Linked DNA regions of Arabidopsis thaliana. The protein of the gene in region 4 interacts with the protein of the main gene of each other region in a pairwise test. Each region holds a gene or a part of one and is shown on either strand. Other genes may lie near its edges.

What was found.
Region 1: the proteins of KCS1 (region 4) and RABA1e interact in a two-hybrid assay, tested with the Arabidopsis thaliana proteins (one large-scale study listed by BioGRID).
Region 2: the proteins of KCS1 (region 4) and ABC4 interact in a two-hybrid assay, tested with the Arabidopsis thaliana proteins (one large-scale study listed by BioGRID).
Region 3: the proteins of KCS1 (region 4) and AT1G73920 interact in a two-hybrid assay, tested with the Arabidopsis thaliana proteins (one large-scale study listed by BioGRID).

What each region holds. Positions count from the first base shown.
Region 1 is NC_003075.7:10,183,133-10,187,245, reverse strand, and holds RABA1e (RAB GTPase homolog A1E), read left to right. Parts: upstream 1-1,862; 5' UTR 1,863-2,022; coding exon 2,023-2,243; intron 2,244-2,910; coding exon 2,911-3,343; 3' UTR 3,344-3,575; downstream 3,576-4,113. Other genes in the region: AT4G18440 (L-Aspartase-like family protein), read left to right, coding at 1-4, 94-237, 319-420, 486-554, 643-861. UniProt on the Arabidopsis thaliana protein: Intracellular vesicle trafficking and protein transport.
Region 2 is NC_003070.9:22,323,914-22,329,386, reverse strand, and holds ABC4 (UbiA prenyltransferase family protein), read left to right. Parts: upstream 1-2,027; 5' UTR 2,028-2,448; intron 2,449-2,617; 5' UTR 2,618-2,627; coding exon 2,628-2,717; intron 2,718-2,796; coding exon 2,797-3,021; intron 3,022-3,102; coding exon 3,103-3,206; intron 3,207-3,299; coding exon 3,300-3,371; intron 3,372-3,459; coding exon 3,460-3,598; intron 3,599-3,674; coding exon 3,675-3,781; intron 3,782-3,867; coding exon 3,868-3,967; intron 3,968-4,041; coding exon 4,042-4,080; intron 4,081-4,165; coding exon 4,166-4,276; intron 4,277-4,354; coding exon 4,355-4,420; intron 4,421-4,484; coding exon 4,485-4,580; 3' UTR 4,581-4,950; downstream 4,951-5,473. Other genes in the region: AT1G60610 (SBP (S-ribonuclease binding protein) family protein), read left to right, coding at 201-309, 399-766, 843-1,388. UniProt on the Arabidopsis thaliana protein: Involved in the synthesis of phylloquinone (vitamin K1). Catalyzes the transfer of a prenyl chain to 2-carboxy-1,4-naphthoquinone.
Region 3 is NC_003070.9:27,788,933-27,795,464, forward strand, and holds AT1G73920 (alpha/beta-Hydrolases superfamily protein), read left to right. Parts: upstream 1-1,804; 5' UTR 1,805-2,261; coding exon 2,262-2,302; intron 2,303-2,663; exon of another isoform or gene 2,664-2,668; coding exon 2,669-2,842; intron 2,843-2,926; coding exon 2,927-3,323; intron 3,324-3,421; coding exon 3,422-3,720; intron 3,721-3,814; coding exon 3,815-3,883; intron 3,884-3,982; coding exon 3,983-4,039; intron 4,040-4,464; coding exon 4,465-4,517; intron 4,518-4,607; coding exon 4,608-4,683; intron 4,684-4,817; coding exon 4,818-5,766; 3' UTR 5,767-5,996; downstream 5,997-6,532. Other genes in the region: ARP4A (actin-related proteins 4A), read left to right, coding at 361-373, 510-601, 731-877, 965-1,038, 1,191-1,368; AT1G73930 (polarity axis stabilization protein), read right to left, coding at 6,415-6,532.
Region 4 is NC_003070.9:56,615-60,911, reverse strand, and holds KCS1 (3-ketoacyl-CoA synthase 1), read left to right. Parts: upstream 1-1,696; 5' UTR 1,697-1,933; coding exon 1,934-3,520; 3' UTR 3,521-3,748; downstream 3,749-4,297.

The DNA.
Region 1 (4,113 bases), on a different chromosome or scaffold from region 4:
GCAGGCAAGTGTTAATATAAGAAAGGAAAAAAAAAGATGTCAAATCATTTGAATCTGAATGGGAAAATCGTCTCATTGTTTGAGATTTTGCAGACAACTAAAGCGGGTGAAATTGGATCGTCGACAATGCCTCACAAAGTGAATCCTATTGACTTTGAGAACAGCGAAGGGAATCTAGGGAAAGCAAACGCAGAGCTTACTTTTCTCAGCATGAAGCTTCCCATTTCACGCATGCAGGTTTTAACATTTCTCCATATTCTATGTATCTCAGCTAGAGTGATGGAAGTAAACTAAGCCTGAAAAATGTACAATCTGCAGCGTGATTTAACTGATTCAACTGTCTTGAGAAACATGGGTGGAGCTTTAGGACACTCTCTTCTCGCTTACAAGAGTGCGATACAGGGAATCGGGAAGCTTCAGGTATTATTACCGTAGCCCTAAGAAATGTTTCCACTTGTCACAAACTAAGAATGTTCTTGATATAGGTTAATGAAGCTCGGTTAAAAGAAGATTTGGATGATAATTGGGAAGTCCTTGCTGAACCAATACAAACTGTAAATTTCTCGAGTTTCTAATCTTCTATATCAATCAAGATATTTGATGTATCTCTAATCCACAGAAGTATTATGGTATCAAATAAAGGTGATGAGGAGATACGGTGTCCCTGAGCCGTATGAGAAGCTGAAGGAGCTAACAAGAGGAAAAGCTGTGAATGAAGAAACCATAAGAACGTTTATCAAAGGTTTGGAATTGCCTTCAGAAGCAAAAGACCAACTTCTGGAGCTAACTCCACACACATATGTTGGTGCTGCTGCTGCATTGGCACTGGCCGTGGATGAAGCTCTGCACTTGGGACATTGATGATGATCAAAGTGGTGATAGATTGTCCTCTTTTATTATGGTATTCTTTTCGAAATTGGTGGAAAACAGAGACAATTTATAGGTCGGTGACTTGCAAGTCGTCGTTTAAAATGTTAAGAAAAATCTTGTACCATTGTTGTGTTATGTTTCCTCTTTGAGTGTCTGTGTTTTATCTAAGTCTTGAGCTATAAGCTGTGGTCAATGATTCTCGAACCAATACAAATTATTGTAATAAAATAGGTCATATACACATTGGTGTCAAATAATAAAGAGTTCTCAAGTTGAAATTCAATTTGAGTGGTTTTTGTTTTTCTTTATAACCAAGTGTTATGTAGGTATCAAAATCTAGCAAATATATATGCATATAGTAGTCAAATAAATTGTCCACAGAAACAAAACTGAGAAATAATAATGTTAAAATGTTGTTTGTCAATTAAGAGCTTTAAGTAATTCTTCTATTTATTGCTAACATTTACATGAACACAAATGTTTTAGCCTTTTAGGTCTAAAATAAATAATATAAGATCTATCTCAAAAACAAACTTACTAGTTTCCTTTAGACTTGATCTATTACTAAAAGTCTAGTACATGTGTCCAACAATAATCTCAACTCTACACTATATTTAGTGTCATATAAAAAAAATCCTTAGAAGTTAAAAATAGAAATGGAAAATTTCATGACAATATACCATAAAAAATCTTTTACCTAGATATCTTCCTACACATTGCTATAATTTTATTTATGAACAAATTTCCCTGTGATTTTATTTGAGAAAAGCTATAAATTGAATTATTGAATTGAAGACATAATAATATTGTTTTTTCCTGCAAGTGTATATTGTTCTGCGTTTACCAAGTTCATGGCGGCCATAAACCCGAAGATTTCGTCAAACATGTTTGTTCTCTAATCTTTCCAACGACTTTCAAAACATATACATATGCTAAGTCATGCATATAATAATAACAAATGATTGAATCCTAATATTATTCTTATTTTTATAACACTACCAAAACCAATAAGCCCTTTCGTCGTTACCCACTACCCATAATTTCATTTCATTACAAAACACAACAACACATCATTCATTTCATTAGATCATATTGCAACATCTCTCTGAATTCTTCTTTACGATTTTGTAACTTCTATCAAATACCTTAATAATGGGAGCCTACAGAGCCGACGACGACTACGATTATCTCTTCAAACTAGTCTTGATTGGAGATTCCGGCGTCGGAAAATCCAATCTTTTGTCTCGCTTCACCAGAAACGAATTCAGCATCGAGTCAAAGTCAACCATCGGTGTCGAGTTCGCCACAAGAAGTGTTCATGTCGACGAAAAAATCATCAAAGCTCAGCTTTGGGACACCGCTGGTCAAGAAAGGTAATAAATCCTCGAAATTTCACTGTTTTATCTCTATATGTTCTGTTTTGTTTCATTCTTTGAACCAAACCAAACCGAAATGGTTGAACAAAAATCAAACTGGATAATTTTACAAATTTGTTTGTTTTACTATTTTGAAACCAATATAAACTGATTTAGTGTAACCAAATAAACCGCATTTTTTTAGAAATCCTCTACTTTTGATTATGTATCTCTATGGAAATTAAATTGAAATAGTTATGTTACATTAATATAATATTAACTAGATCATGATTTATTTCAATTATCAATTTCGATTTTTTTTATAAATATAATATACTTTTAATTATGTATATGTATGGAAAATTGGAATAAGTATATTGCACTGATATAATATTTGACTAGATAATGATTTTATTTTAATAATCAATTTCTATAGATTAACCAAATATAACTTTCTTGGTAAAAAGTTTTTTTTGCTAAAAGGAACCAAATATAACTTAATTCAAATCAAGAACAAATTGGAAAATAAACCAGATTACAAATTATTTTATTTGGTTTTAATTTCTATTAACCGATATAATCAATAGCCGAAACTAACCAACCGTAAACCGATCTCCCACTCCTATGCTCTCTTTCTTCTCTATATGCTCTGTTTTTGAGTAATAGCGACTTATTTGTTATACAGATACAGAGCAATCACGAGTGCATACTACAGAGGAGCAGTGGGGGCACTTCTAGTATACGACATAACTCGACACATAACGTTCGAAAACGTTGAAAGATGGCTCAAGGAGCTTCGTGACCATACCGATGCCAACGTTGTAATCATGCTTGTTGGAAACAAAGCCGATCTTCGTCACCTTCGTGCAGTTCCCACAGAAGAAGCTAGATCATTCTCTGAAAGAGAAAACATGTTTTTCATGGAGACTTCTGCTTTGGATGCTACAAATGTCGAACAAGCTTTCACTCATGTCTTGACTCAAATCTATCGTGTAATGAGCCGTAAAGCTCTTGATGGTACTGGAGATCCGATGTCTTTACCTAAAGGACAAACCATTGATATCGGAAATAAGGATGATGTTACTGCTGTTAAATCTTCTGGTTGTTGCTCAGGTTGAGATTATTGTTTTTGTTTTTGTAAACTGTCTTTTTGGAAGAAGGCTTTGGCTTTGGTTTTGTTGTATTGGACTATTTTTGGGGGCTTCATTTTAAGGTTATGAGACCGGTTTGTTTTATAATACAAACCGAAGAATTGTATTGAATTGAACAAGACTTGGTCCGGTTAATAAGATAGTTTACTAATACCGAACTGATCAAACATATATGATCCCAAAAAGGGAACTATCAAACAACCATAATCTTAGCTTTTGGTGTAAGATTTAGTTATGATTTCTCTTTAGGACATGAGTAGCCGACTTGAATCGATACCAAAAGTCTGGTGCTAACAAAGCGAGAATCTGATAAACTTATTAGTAATGTGAATTATGATATGAACATTTTATCGTATCTAATCGAAAGATTATTAGCGTCCAAGAAAATAGCTTTTCTATACAACTAAATAGCATCGGCTAGTTTTTTTCTTAGGGTTTTTGAGTTCGAACCAGCGCAGGTACATGTTTAAAATATCTATTAGTAAACATATCGCATCAATATATATAAAAAGGAAATTAAACGTAACAAAAAAAAAATTAACTTACCAAACTTTAGAAATAATTGAAATAATTTACCAAAAACCAAAGAGAAGAAGAGGAAGATATGTATAACTTATTCCACACGGAAGCAAGTTAGGTCCACCGTCCAAATTATGAGAACACCTTTCCTTCCAAGTCTAAGGATGTTTATTGTTTCGTACACTTGACAATCATCATAATTATTCATGCGAATATTA
Region 2 (5,473 bases), about 22 Mb from region 4:
GTTGGATTGTAATCTGTATTGCTTAGGACAGTTAAATCTTATTACATCTTGGCTCGTCATGTCAAAAGCTGAAGATATTTGAGCTTTCATATCTTACAACTAATTAGTTTCGTATGTCTACAGGTTTCTTACTGTAATTTTTCTGTTTCAGTTCTTTACGGGTATATATATACACATAAAACGGTTAAGCTCTAGAGAAGATGTTGGGAGGCAACAATGATAACCCTGTGCCGCAGGTTCTAATGAACGACAGCCAGTTTCGGTATCAATCAAACACATCGTTGAATCAGCTTCACTTGCTTGGGACGAGTAAGTTTCTGAATTTTGTTATTCATTTGGTTTGAATGTTGTTAGAACTTTATAGAGCTAAAAGCTTGTTCCTTTGTATGTGGTTGCAGTGAGAGCTGGTTGTACTATTGATCCTGTAAACTACTTTGCTAATGATAACCTTGCTCCTATGATGCGGCTTAATAGCACACGCGGAAGGGAAACTGAAAACAACAATATTATGCAGAGACAGCAGAAGCTGCAGATCTCTTTGAATTATAACTACAACAACAATAATACTGTTGTTCAAGATGAAGTCCCAAAGCAGAACTTAGTGTCAACTGGTCTGAGACTATCTTATGATGATGATGAGCGCAACTCTTCTGTAACTTCAGCAAATGGAAGCATAACAACTCCAGTCTATCAGTCACTCGGTGACAATATCAGATTGGACCTCAATAGACAGAACGACGAGCTTGATCAGTTTATCAAATTCCGGGTATTAATTTTATCTACAAAGCGTATGTTTTTGCTTACATATCCCATGTCGTTGAAATTGTTCTCTCTTGGAACAGGCAGATCAAATGGCGAAAGGTGTGAGAGATATTAAACAGAGACATGTCACGTCCTTTGTCACGGCCTTAGAGAAGGATGTGAGTAAGAAGCTTCAAGAGAAAGACCATGAGATTGAAAGCATGAACAAGAAGAACCGGGAACTCGTGGATAAGATAAAACAAGTGGCAGTGGAAGCTCAGAACTGGCATTACAAAGCAAAATACAATGAATCTGTGGTTAATGCCTTAAAGGTAAATTTGCAACAAGTGATGTCACATGGAAACGACAACAATGCAGTAGGAGGAGGAGTTGCTGATCATCATCAAATGAAAGAAGGGTTTGGGGATAGTGAGATTGATGACGAAGCAGCTTCTTACAATTACTTGAACATCCCGGGGATGCCAAGTACTGGGATGAGATGTAAGTTGTGTAACGTAAAGAATGTTTCGGTCTTGCTCGTGCCATGTAGGCACTTGAGTTTGTGTAAAGATTGTGATGTGTTTACTGGTGTTTGTCCTGTTTGCCAGTCTTTGAAAACTTCTAGCGTTCAGGTCTTCTTCTTCTGAGTTGTCTTCATACTCTTGAAAAGTAAATGGTGGATGAACATATTTGTATGTGATGGTGGTGATGAATGAAAACTTGGTCGAGTCTTTCTTTGCTTTTGCCATTAAACCTATATAGCATGATTCTGCTATTTCGTAGTTATTAAGCAGCCGTTCTTTGAACACGAGATAATAATTGAGTTCCGTGTCGTGTGCGATATGTCAAGCTGTGGATTACATTGTTAGAAGAAATTATTAAACTTGTTTTGGCTGATTTTTTTCTTCTTAATATTTTTGCTGCAAAACTTGTTTCCCAAGTAAGGTTATTTATGTACTAAAACAATATTTTTTTAATGTAAAGGATTTTGATCAATATTTCCGTTAGAAAAATACTAATAAAGTTGATATTAATATACATCATATTACGTTTGCAAAAATAAAAAAGACGCAGTTAATTTCCCCATCTGAATATTAATTTTTGGCATTAATATTAATTTGGTTTAATTATAAATTATGTCAACATTGTTTAATTTGTAAATCATGCAAATCTAGTTTACTTGTAGTAGTTTGTACCAACCAAACCCTCAAAGGCTCGAAAGTAATGGGCCTTAAAGGCCCACCTTTCTACTTGTATTTAAAATTGGTCAAAGACACGTGAACCTCACGTGATTTTATCTTCCAACGAGGGAGCTTCTGTTATCCACTTCATCATTCACGTCTCTTCCGCAAAACCCAACATTCAAATTCTTGTCTGAATAACGAAATCCCAACATTTGCATTGCATAGATTCCTTCACAAATCCTCTGATTCTGATTCTGGTCACTCAATTTTGCCTGTTTATTGGCATAATTCGGGCACTTTTCTCTCAGTTTTTGTATAAGGTTCAATGAGTTTGTTCTGTACTTCTGTGTGCGTTATCTTCTCCAAATTAAGATTCCAGATTCGTGGGTTCATGAAAATCTCGTTGTAGACGAGCCAAGTTGAAATATTTTTCCTCAAGTGAATTTTGTTATGATCACGTCGTGGTTTTGATCTGACTCCACTTCCGTCGCTAACTCTCTTCGAAAGATTCGTGTTAAAAAAGGTAAAGTTCCAAACTTCATACTTTTTTTACTTCATCTTACTCATTTTCCATTGTCTCTGATTCATGCCAGAACAAAGATTTTAGTTATAGGGTTCCAGAATCTCGGACTTTAACTCGGAAGTAGTGTTCTTCCTCTGTTAACTGAAATTCTTTCTTTTGTTTTATGCAGAAACCTGAAAATGGTGAATTTTGTTTCTCTCTGTGACATAAAGTATGGGTTTGTGCCCAAAAATTCAACTGATTTGTTTGTGAAACGGAAAATTCACAAGGTAGGCTTAGCACTTCATCCAAAGCTTTGTTCTTTGACAATAATCTACTTTGTACTGTCACTAAAATTACTTAGCTTAGCTTCCCAGCAGAGGAGATGTAATCACTAGATTACCGGTGTTTGGTTCGAATGCACGAGAGAATCTGAATGCTAAACCAAGAAGAAACCTTAGAGTTAGGCCAATCTTTTGTAAGAGTTATGGAGATGCAGCAAAGGTTTACCAAGAAGAGGAGATTCCCAGAGCAAAATTGATATGGAGAGCAATCAAACTACCAATGTACTCTGTCGCTTTAGTTCCTCTTACCGTATGTTTCCTCAAGAAACCTTTCTATGTCCTCCATTGCCTTTATCTGCTAGGGAATATTCACTGTTCAAATGTCACACAGGTTGGCGCTTCAGCGGCCTATTTAGAGACGGGTTTGTTCTTAGCTAGACGTTATGTTACTCTATTGCTCTCATCAATTCTTATCATTACTTGGCTCAACCTAAGGTGATTAATTGATTGATTCCTTTTAACATTTTCGTTGACTGTATTTACTCTTTCATGTATTTACTCTTTCCAAACATGGTTTTATGTTTGCAGCAATGATGTTTATGATTTTGATACCGGAGCTGATAAGAACAAAATGGAATCAGTAGTAAATCTGGTTGGAAGGTAAAGTATTATCAAAGGATAGAGTTTGCAACTTTGAAGTTTATGTTTTTGAGTTCCATCCTAATAAACTGTGTTTTACTTGGAAAAGCCGGACAGGAACCTTAGCCGCTGCAATCACATCGCTAGCGCTTGGTGTTTCTGGTCTAGTTTGGACATCGTTAAATGCAAGTAATATCCGTGCAATACTATTGCTAGCCTCAGCAATACTCTGTGGCTACGTATACCAGGTGAACGTTACTTCCTAGATGACAATTTGATACTAATCTAGGAGATTTCTAACTTAGAGTAATACTTTGTGACTAGTGTCCGCCATTTCGGTTAAGTTACCAAGGATTAGGAGAGCCTCTATGCTTTGCAGCATTTGGTCCATTTGCTACTACTGCTTTTTATCTACTTCTTGGTAGCTCAAGGTAATATCAAAATTTTGTTTTAAGCCTAATCCATTCGTGTTTCCATGAGGTGTTAATAATGGAAGCTTGTTAATCGGTTTTGGCAGCGAGATGAGGCATCTTCCGCTAAGCGGTAGGGTCCTTTCATCATCTGTCCTTGTTGGTTTTACTACATCTCTTATCCTTTTCTGCAGCCACTTTCATCAGGTTGGTTAATGAAAAAGTGGTCTAATGAGTCCTGAAATGACAAACACAGTACTGACTACATTTACATTCTATAGGTGGATGGAGATTTAGCTGTGGGGAAATATTCACCTCTGGTACAAATGTGAAAAAAACTCAACAAGGTTTAATATGAATATGGTGATTGTGTTTATGATTAGAGTTTTTTTTTGGTTGACACAGGTTCGGTTAGGGACTGAAAAAGGAGCTTTTGTTGTGAGATGGACTATTCGTTTACTATATTCAATGCTTCTTGTTCTTGGTTTAACCAGGATTTTGCCACTACCTTGCACCGTAAGTTAACAGATTTGAGAACATGACTGAAATATAAGAACATATATTAAAACCTCCTTTTTGTTGTTGGTGTTTCAGTTGATGTGCTTCCTGACATTACCAGTTGGGAATTTGGTTTCAAGCTACGTTGAAAAGCACCACAAGGTAAGATATTTAGAATTGAAATTTGTAATACTCAAAGTTTTGCTAATCTATTCTTTTAATGCAGGATAATGGGAAGATATTCATGGCCAAGTATTACTGTGTGAGACTCCACGCCTTGCTTGGAGCCGCATTGTCGTTGGGGCTAGTTATCGCGCGCTAGAAATCAGTCACCAAACATTTGTTTCTCTCTTTAGCCTTCGTTGTATCTACCTAAACGTTTAGCCACTACAGTATGCTGTAGCTAAAAGGAAACATTCGAACTTACAACAGTTGTGAAAGGTCTCAAATTAATCACAAGCATGGTGAGCGATTGTATCCTCAATTGTTAAAGTGACGGGTGCCACCATGGATATGTTGAAACATGGGCCATGTCGGATTTAGTGCAAGCCCGTTGACGGCGTTTGTGTTAGGTAATTCAGATTTCCAACACACAAGATGGCCCAACAAAGAGGTTATGCTTGTGTTTGTAGGACATAATTGTTTCTCGATATGGACCTTTCTCCAATTCTTGAATCCATCCCAAACCACTGAAGTTGGATCCCATGTGCATTTAAGAAAATCATTAGAAGGTGAGATCCAGATTTATATTAGAGAACACATAAAACCCCAAAATATTATCATTTGAGAAGCCTATTCAGCCTATGTTATTAGGTTTTATAGCAAAATCATTAGCGGGTTTAGATGGGCTGCTCAAATGATAATATATTAGGCTTTATGTGTGCTCTAATAACTTTGATGGTAATGAGTTGACGGTATTGACCAAGTTGAAGATTGTGGACATTGTTGATTGCAATTTGATTCCTCGTGATCTGTTGTTGCTTTATGAATTACCTTCATGGCCGAGAAGCCTAGTTCATTCTAATCTTTTCACATCCTCTAAAGAATCCACAAGCTAGTAATTTTTCTTAAGCTTTTTACATTTTATTAATTTTCTCAACAAATTATTATATATTACTTGGATCTCAATATTACTTATATAGTACTAATATAAAACATTAAAAATCTTAACGAAATGTATATATTGTTGTTTTATATATATATATATGTGTCATC
Region 3 (6,532 bases), about 28 Mb from region 4:
GAAATAGTTAACCAATTGAAATACCAAATTTAGAAAACTTGAGCAACAAAGTCGTTGTAGTATAGTGGTAAGTATTCCCGCCTGTCACGCGGGTGACCCGGGTTCGATCCCCGGCAACGGCGTATTTTTAATTTTTTCATATTTGTTTTTATTTTAGTCCCTTTGTTTTCAGTTTCTTTAGTTTTAGTCCCTCATATTTCAGGTTTGTTTGTTTTAGTCCTTCTCTTCTTTATATTCAACTTCCCAATCCGAGACAAAGTGAAATCACTTAAATAGTTTACTTTCCGGTTCCGTTCTTAAACCTTCCGACGAAGCTCCGGTAGAGAAAACCTCTCTTCACCTCTCCCATTCTCGGCAGCCATGTACGGTGGAGGTAGGTTTTATTTTCGTCCTCTCTAAAATCTCTCTCTGATTGTACAAATTCAGCATTACTTCTTTCCCTTTTCGCTTGAGCTCGTCTCGTAAAGGTGTAAACTTTTCCTTGGTGGGGTTTCTTATATATTGAACAGACGAAGTGTCAGCTATCGTAGTAGACTTAGGTTCTCACACTTGCAAAGCTGGTTACGCCGGAGAAGATGCCCCTAAAGCTGTTTTCCCTTCCGTAAGTCTCATTCTTTACTTCCTCTCTTTTCAATTGGTTAAAGTTAGGTCCTTTTAGTGTAGAGCAAGCAATTCGAGAAATTTAGGTTTTTTGTTGTTGCTGTTGTTGATGTGTTATATAACTTATAAGGTTGTTGGAGCGATAGATGGAAATGGAATGGATATTGATGATGCTGCAAACACCACGGAGGATGCAAAGGAGTCTGATAAAGAAAAAGGCAAAAGGAAGCTTTACACAGGATCTCAAGCTTTGAACTTTCGCCGCGATCAAATGGAGGTCAGTTTTCTTTATTAAACTTCAAAATGGTTAGGGATGAAGATAAATTTTCAGGTCTCTCTATTAGTTGACATTTGTCTGTTCCAGATATTGTCACCTACAAAGGATGGCATTGTAACTGATTGGGATATGGTGGACAATGTATGGGATCATGCTTTTAGGTAATTTGCAGAATCTGTTAGTTTTTGTCTTTAACTGTTTAATCTTTATCTTTTCCATTTATAGTTGATTGATGATTTCATCTGTGTAAATGTTTATTATTCAAGGAATTGTCTAATGATTGATCCCACGGAGCACCCAATGCTACTTGCAGAGCCTCCTCTGAACTCACAGCAGCAGAGAGAAAAGTCTGGTTTCTCTACCTTTTATCGATGCTGAGTTCATCTTGGATTAGGAACAGATTATTCTGGTGGAACATCATCAATGCAGTAATTGAAAGAACGCCTCGAGAAAGACTTGGTAGAAGTAAGGTAGTATACTGGCATCGTTAGGCTCATTCCAGCAAATGTGGTTCTCCAAGTCTGAGTAAGTAACACATTGGATTGCTCTCTAGATCTCGACTCACGTATAAACAGTGTCTTCTCATCGCTAGGGTTTGAGTCTTTTTGTGTACATGACAGGTATGCAGAGCATGGAGCTTCTTACATCCAGAGGAAATGCCCTTAAAAGCTGCTTGAGATCAAGATAACGAGAACCTTTGGAGACAGTCAGAGGGTTTAGGGATTAAGTAATTAGTATCTTTTCATTTATTTAGGCAAATATTAAACACTTTTTTATTATTATTATGAAGCTTTAGAAATAGCTTCGTATAATATAATGTTTCAACGTTAACATACAACAAATGTACTATTTTTCTAAGTGAAAACAACCACAAATGTACTTGTGTGTTTGCCTGTTTGGTAAATCCACCTTCTCCGTTATCCAAAAGTCGAATTTACGTGTCGTAGTTTTTGTCACATTCGTCATTATCCAATAACACATGTCCACGTGTCACCATTTTCTGGTCTCTGGACGGCAAGAATCGCCGACGTGCCCCTATTTAATCGGATTCTCCCATTTTTATTTTATTTTCGTCAGATTCTCTCCAATTTTGTTTTTTCTTTTTAGATTTTTGATTCTCGAATCGCGGCTCCTGTGGGTCTCTGTGTTTTCCTTATTTTGAGTTCGGATTAAATCTCGATCGCGATTTGGTCCAATATCTCCTAGCATCGAGAGATTTCTATTCTGGCTAAATTTTGTGTTTTCTCAGGTGGATAAGAAATTTTCTCTTTGTCGTTTTCCTCGATAATTTTCGGATTACGGCGACGAATCAGATTGTTTTTTGGTTTCAAATTTTCTGATATTTCCAAAAAAACAAAAAAATCTGATTTTTGAGAAAAAAGCAATGCAACGGATCGTGGACAACGCTCTCGCTGTAACCAAAGAGTGAGTCTTTTTTCTTATCGATCATCAGTGGATTCATCTGTGTATGCGCCTATAGTTGTTCTAATGTTTCATAAATGACAAGTAGAGATTTTTAAGTTTTTGATCGTTTGGTGATTATAGTAAGTCTCTTTGTTAATTAGTATTGGTAGATTGTGTTTTTGAGTTTTGTTAGACCATTTTATTCTAGTATCTTCATTCAAAGCTTCGTCTTTTAGAGTTGATGTTGGCTATGAACTTTGAGTCGGTGAAATGACTATTTCTTTTTTTTTGGTTCGTCTTTTTGTTAGATGTTCTTCTTTTCCCTTATGTTGTCTAACAAGCTTAAACTAAATAAGCTTTTTGATTATGTTTTGGCTTTTAGTGCAGATCAGTAAAAACTGTTACATATGAGTCTTTGAATAACATTGCGAGGTGCATAAATGGAGTATCAGCTCTTCTGTTGACCCTTCTCCCAGGGAAGGCTAATATTCTTGAAGGCTTACATGGCTGGGAACTCAGGCCTACGTTTCGTGGACCACGTTTACCACGGTGGATGCATAAGTAATAATTTCTCATGATTCTTCTGTTGTTAGTTTATTTGCAAGCCTTCAAAATATGCTAATTTTACTCTGTTTTTGATGGCAGTGGGGTCTCTTCTTTCAATGAGTTCATTCATGAGCTTTCTGTTGATTCTGATACTTCAAGCTTGGAGTATTCTTCTGGAGAAGATAGTGATGGTCCTTTGCCTCCATCACCATCATCTCAAAGCTCACGCCTCTCTTGGGCTAGCACTTCTGCAAGTTCTGAAAACCACTGGACAGAGTGGATTACGTTCATTCTTTGGTGGTTAATGTTTCCTGTACGGATCTTGCTATGGATACCACAATATATTATAAGTTTATTCTATAAACGAAGTTCAAGAATTCCTGCGAGCCCGAGAAGGCACCAACATTCATCTAGACCTCGTATTAGCAAGACCAACTCAAGCAAAGACCATGATGTTCCCAACCGAACTACTGATAGAAGACGTGGGGTTATTGAGGTTTGTGGATGCACGAACAAATATTCAATGTTACAATCATTTTTGTGATTTTAAACCTTTTGACAAACTCGTCCTACTTAATGTGCTTTATTTTTCAGGATCTTCATCTTGCTATCGAGATCGGCATAGAAGCAATATTTGATTTTTTTCACAAGGCTACGCATCTTCTTCTTTCTCCATCAGAAGCTTTTGCAATATTGTTATCATGGTTCTCATCTTCCAGTCGCAGCCCTAAAGAAAACCATGGTGAGGTTGCTTATGATGAAACTGTGCAGACTGCTACTTTAGGAGATACAGATCCATCCCCCACGGAAAGGCCCGTTGAAAGTCCCACACGTTTATACAACTCTATGAACACTGATACTCGAACGTGTCAAGATGTCATAACAGAGTTGGGGTAAAGGGGCAGATTCGATGTCTCATGCTTCCATTTTTTTTTTCTCTTTCTCAAGTAGTTGATATTTACTTGATTTCTCTCCTACTCTTGGTAGGTATCCTTACGAAGCTATTCGTGTTATTACATCTGACGGATATGTTCTTGTCTTGGAAAGGATACCAAGGTATAACTTTCTTGTTAGATATTAAGCTCGCTTGTGCATGCTTTCCATTCCTGTTACATTGTCTCTTAATGTGATCGTTGACTACTCTTGTCTTTGCAGACGTGATGCAAGGAAAGCTGTTTTTTTGCAGCATGGGGTTTTGGATTCTTCAATGGGGTAAGTTTCATGGTCTAGTTCTTAGATGACTCGTAAACTTTGGAAACTTAGTAAGCTGAAAAGTTGAGGAAGTATTATTTTCTATATCCATGTAGCATAACATTCCTAGGCGTTTCAATGTTCCTGACTCTTTACCCAAAAAAAAATTATTTTCATAATTTGTTCCCTTCAACTTTGCGTGTGTGTTTGATTTGCTCAAGACACAAAAATGGATTTGGGAAAATCTTTTGGTGCGATTAGGAGGGATACTGCTTTCAGTTACTTTAGTTATCTCATCTTCTTTTTTCCCTTTCCTTCTCTCCGATCCTTCTTAAAGATTTAGTTTTGACTTGGAACATCCTATAATCCTCTGATGTTTTGATCTAATATATGTCCTATGAAACATTATTGATTACTCTTTTTCTCTACTGCGTGTTTTTCTTCAGATGGGTATCTAATGGGGTTGTTGGATCTCCGGCTTTTGCTGCGTATGACCAAGGTTCAAGCCTCAAGTTTTTCATTTTCCAATCTTTTATTAATTCACATACGGCAACGATTTATCAGCTTCTTACACTCTTTTCCTTTACAGGCTATGATGTTTTTCTGGGTAACTTTCGGGGTTTAGTTTCAAGAGATCATGTGAACAAGAACATATCCTCAAAAGAGTGAGTTATTGCTTTAAAGTTCACTTCTTACTTAATCTACATGCACTGTCTGGTTTCTTTATGATAGTGGAGTTTCATCATATGTATATATTTGCAAGTTGTACAAATGTTCATTGTTATTGACCAAAATGCAGGTTCTGGCGATACTCCATTAACGAGCACGGTACTGAAGATATCCCAGCGATGATAGAAAAAATTCATGAAATAAAAACTACAGAACTCAAGCTCTGCCAGCCCAATATCGATGAAGAAATCAACCAGGAGGAGCCTTATAAGCTCTGTGCCATCTGTCACAGTCTAGGCGGTGCTGCAATTCTGATGTATGTTATTACTCGAAAAATCAAGGAGAAGCCACACAGACTCTCACGACTAATCCTACTTTCACCTGCTGGGTTTCATGAGGACTCGAACTTAGGTTTCACAATAGTTGAGTACATATTCCTTTTCATTAGTCCAGTTTTGGCTCGCATCGTGCCTGCCTTCTACATACCGACAAGATTCTTCAGAATGCTTCTGAACAAGTTAGCCCGTGACTTTCACAACTATCCTGCTCTTGGTGGATTGGTCCAAACTCTAATGAGTTATGTAGTTGGTGGAGACAGCTCGAATTGGGTCGGAGTCTTAGGATTGCCTCACTACAACATGAACGACATGCCAGCTGTCTCCTTCCGTGTGGCGCAACATCTTGCTCAGATCAAACACACCGGTAAATTCAGGATGTATGATTATGGAAGCAGATCAGCTAACATGGAGGTTTATGGCTCTCCTGAACCGCTTGATCTAGGGGAGTCTTACAAGTTCATCGATGTGCCTGTGGATTTAGTAGCGGGAAGGAACGACAAGGTGATCCGTTCCTCTATGGTGAAGAAACACTACAATGTGATGAGAGATGCCGAGGTCGATGTATCGTTTAATGAGTTTGAGTATGCTCACCTTGATTTCACATTCTCTCACCGTGAAGAGCTTTTGAGATATGTGATGTCGCGGCTTCTGCTTGTGAAACAGACACCAGTTCAACAGAGGCAGACCAGTCAGAAAGGTATGAAGTTGAAGAAGAAGAAAAAGGAGGGTACAGTAGTGTAGTAGCTGAAACCGATCTATGGCCAATGTTCAATGCCTCGTAGAGTTTGGTGTCTTTGTATTGTGATGTTGTGTGTAAGCTTCATGTGTGTGTTCTATGCCAGTATCCTATGGCTTGGCTATAATAGTGTACATATACCGTAAAGATTGATCCCTTGATGAAATGATCTTGTTGTGAGAGATGCTTTTTTCAGCCGTATGGTATATAATAATGTTTCTAGTGGTTTGGTTTCCATGAAAATGATATGATGTCATGAAAGATGCTATGAATCCAGAAAATTCCTCCTTTCCATTGGAAGATCTGAAGAGACCAATTAATCATATAGTTGGCGAATCTTTGCATACTTTGACATAGAACTTCTGTAGGTCATACAGTTTATTCATTTGTCGTAATAATATAAATCATAGTTACAGTTACATGTTTAATGGATCCAAGAAGGATAAATTTATCTGGTTATAGAGTTAAAAATACAGCAGTGATCAGTGATTTCGGTGTTGTGTGATTCTCATGTTTCAAAAGAAAAAACGAGTAAACAATTAGGGAAGATGAAGAATTTTTCTCTTTTTTCTTTGGTACAGTTCAAAGAATGAAACAGAAAAGGGAAGAAAAGAAATCAGAATCCTCATGGACGCCGTAGTGAAGAAGAGCATTCATTGGAGCTCTGATGGATCTTGAAGAAGAGATGCTCTTTGTGGATTTAAAAGCAGAAGTTGCTGCATGTCCTTTGGAAGCACACTGAACACCGCTTGTAGATCCTTCTTCAGTTTC
Region 4 (4,297 bases):
ATTTTGAAGCATGTTAGAGCCTGGTAGTACTGTGCATGTTATACAGCCAATATCAACCTTTTTCGCTAGTTTTATGTAAGGCTATATCGTTTATTTATGTAGCAACCATTTAAATTGTTAGTCCTTTTTAAAATTATTGCAAGATGTGAGTGTGTACATTCATACATTGATGACGGACTGGTTTCTAGTTAGTTGGTATTAAGCCGACCAACATTAATTGTTGGTTTATGTCTACACATGGGTACTAGTCTACCATTTATTATCATCATTATTTCATTTATCTTGCAAATTAATACTTTGATCTGTTTATTGATTAATTCTCTCTATTGTTCATTATGCTGTACATAAACCTAAATATATGAATTATTAGCATCTGATGAACTGGATCTTTCCAATATTGAAGTTTGAGAGTTGGTATGCGTACTGTTGAAACATGTGTTTCATGCAGTAATCACGATATTATGGAAACGACGTCGCTGCCTTTTGTCTTTGTTTTCTTTTTCTCTATTATTTCCCAGTAATCACGATATTAGAAATGATTTAACTATTAAAAGCATTACATTTTACCAACAACTTTATCCCAATGAAAACAAAACAGGGACAATAAGTCCACTTTGGGACCTCAAATCCGAACATTTTATTTACCTACAAAGCTACAAGCTACAACTACCCGTCCGAGGTCTATTTTGGACACCTTGGCACAATCAATATGAAATAACTAGAAAAATACTCGAAAACTAACTAGATATGCAACTCCAAAACTAATTACTTCTTTATCAGATTTATAATATGAAATAAATTCATTATGTAAAGGGTCCCTTATATAACAAACGTCTTAACGAAGACAGCAAATTTATAAATGACAATGACTACAATACTGGAACAGCTAATAGGGATGGTATATAATGGAGAAACAAATCGAAATGTGCTGCTATTAAGAAGTCATAGTAATTCATTATCATCAATTTACCATGGCCCATATTAAGGAGTTTGTATGCATGTGGGATACACATTTATACAAAGAAATAACAAATTTGAATATTTGGGACACGCTTTCGTCTACCCTTGTTCTTGCAATTTGGACAGTGAACGCTTCTCATGAATGAGAGGTACGTTTCTCGAACACGTTCTCCCTTTAAATTTACTATTTACAACATATTATATCAACTTACCCGTCGCTGACCCAGTGCATTTGCACTACGTGCAGCCAACCTGCTTATAATATTCAATTGATATATAATTTTATAACTTGCCCTCACTCAATTTTGGATAACCTACATACACTTGCTAATAAAAACATCATGGATGTCTAAAACGTTTAAGTTTAATTATAAGGAAATATATAACAAACATGTCATATTTTGTTGTGTTGTAGTGGTATAATTAACAAGTTATGTTGTTTATCAAAAACTTCAAAAAAAAAAAAAATTAGGTTACACCAAAATAGAATGTTATGATGCCCAAATATATGTGTGAAAAAAAAGATAAACCAAATTTATGATCTACCATATGACTTATGAGATTCAGCTAGGTTTTGTTAGACTTTTGTAACTTGCATTTCGTGTGAACAAAACATGAAAAATAATCTGACTACTTAATTTAATATCAAGGTCCCATATAAGTAGTTGAGCTAATAGTATTATCTCGGAACCACCCATCATTAAATTCGAATATTATTCCATCTTTTTTTTTTTTTTGTTAAGTCATTACTATTATTAATCTTTAAAATATTTTTATCTTTCTTGCACTCTATATATCTCTCCATCCCTACTTGCCCTCATTTCACCAAAATCCTCCTAATTCACCAATTTTAGAATTCCCATTCTCATTTTCTCTCTCTTTCTATTTCTCCAAATTTGCCTAAAGATTTTACATTTTATCTTCAATCCTTCCTTGATTTACGTTTGAAATATTTCGACCCAAAACTATACTGATGGAGAGAACAAACAGCATTGAGATGGATCGAGAGAGATTAACGGCGGAGATGGCGTTTCGAGATTCATCATCGGCCGTTATAAGAATTCGAAGACGTTTGCCGGATTTATTAACGTCCGTTAAGCTCAAATACGTGAAGCTTGGACTTCACAACTCTTGCAACGTGACCACCATTCTCTTCTTCTTAATTATTCTTCCTTTAACCGGAACCGTGCTGGTTCAGCTAACCGGTCTAACGTTCGATACGTTCTCTGAGCTTTGGTCTAACCAGGCGGTTCAACTCGACACGGCGACGAGACTTACCTGCTTGGTTTTCCTCTCCTTCGTTTTGACCCTCTACGTGGCTAACCGGTCTAAACCGGTTTACCTAGTGGATTTCTCCTGCTACAAACCGGAAGACGAGCGTAAAATATCAGTAGATTCGTTCTTGACGATGACTGAGGAAAATGGATCATTCACCGATGACACGGTTCAGTTCCAGCAAAGAATCTCGAACCGGGCCGGTTTGGGAGACGAGACGTATCTGCCACGTGGCATAACTTCAACGCCCCCGAAGCTAAATATGTCAGAGGCACGTGCCGAAGCTGAAGCCGTTATGTTTGGAGCCTTAGATTCCCTCTTCGAGAAAACCGGAATTAAACCGGCCGAAGTCGGAATCTTGATAGTAAACTGCAGCTTATTCAATCCGACGCCGTCTCTATCAGCGATGATCGTGAACCATTACAAGATGAGAGAAGACATCAAAAGTTACAACCTCGGAGGAATGGGTTGCTCCGCCGGATTAATCTCAATCGATCTCGCTAACAATCTCCTCAAAGCAAACCCTAATTCTTACGCTGTCGTGGTAAGCACGGAAAACATAACCCTAAACTGGTACTTCGGAAATGACCGGTCAATGCTCCTCTGCAACTGCATCTTCCGAATGGGCGGAGCTGCGATTCTCCTCTCTAACCGCCGTCAAGACCGGAAGAAGTCAAAGTACTCGCTGGTCAACGTCGTTCGAACACATAAAGGATCAGACGACAAGAACTACAATTGCGTGTACCAGAAGGAAGACGAGAGAGGAACAATCGGTGTCTCTTTAGCTAGAGAGCTCATGTCTGTCGCCGGAGACGCTCTGAAAACAAACATCACGACTTTAGGACCGATGGTTCTTCCATTGTCAGAGCAGTTGATGTTCTTGATTTCCTTGGTCAAAAGGAAGATGTTCAAGTTAAAAGTTAAACCGTATATTCCGGATTTCAAGCTAGCTTTCGAGCATTTCTGTATTCACGCAGGAGGTAGAGCGGTTCTAGACGAAGTGCAGAAGAATCTTGATCTCAAAGATTGGCACATGGAACCTTCTAGAATGACTTTGCACAGATTTGGTAACACTTCGAGTAGCTCGCTTTGGTATGAGATGGCTTATACCGAAGCTAAGGGTCGGGTTAAAGCTGGTGACCGACTTTGGCAGATTGCGTTTGGATCGGGTTTCAAGTGTAATAGTGCGGTTTGGAAAGCGTTACGACCGGTTTCGACGGAGGAGATGACCGGTAATGCTTGGGCTGGTTCGATTGATCAATATCCGGTTAAAGTTGTGCAATGATTGGTTGAACCGGATAATCATATATGTAATTGTGTTCTTCTTGATTTTATTTTTTAATTGTTGATGTAAGTTGTCGATTGAAAATCATATAATTTAATTAATTTATGGATGTGTGTTTGGTATACGTTAGTTGATTATTCATACTTTTGGTAAACCAGAATTTGAAAATTTAACTCAAGTCAAACAAAATTCTAATCCACTATGTCTGCGTTCACACACATGAATGAATGACACACCCATAAATGATAAAGCAAACCTTGCATACTAACAAATACTATATAGTCTACGCTGGCTCCAATTAATTTATGATATACACCTTTTTATTTTTATTTTTCTGCGAATTTGTGGTGTAGATTTATTCATTCATTCAACAATTTGATTTTTTTTTGGACCAAACGTTATCCACTACTGTTCCATAGGTTTTTATTTTGAATTTTTCATCTTCTGAAGGTTTCACCATTATAAAATGTTATATTTCGACCTCATATTATAAAATGTTTTTTTTCTTCTGGTACCTTTGTAAAAGTAACGAAGAGAGTCAATTAGAGAATCTGTGATGAAAAAAAGTCAATTTAAAGAATAAAAGAATATATACAAACAATTCCATTACAATTTCTCTTGGTTCTTGAAAGTCTTGAACCATAAATTCGGTCAACAACTCGTATAACTATAACCCATATAGGTCGAGTTGGTTGAACCAGCATCTACACATAACTCGTTGGCTGCTGCATGCTGCCAACATATAACAACCAAAAATGCAAAAAACATTAAGTTTTA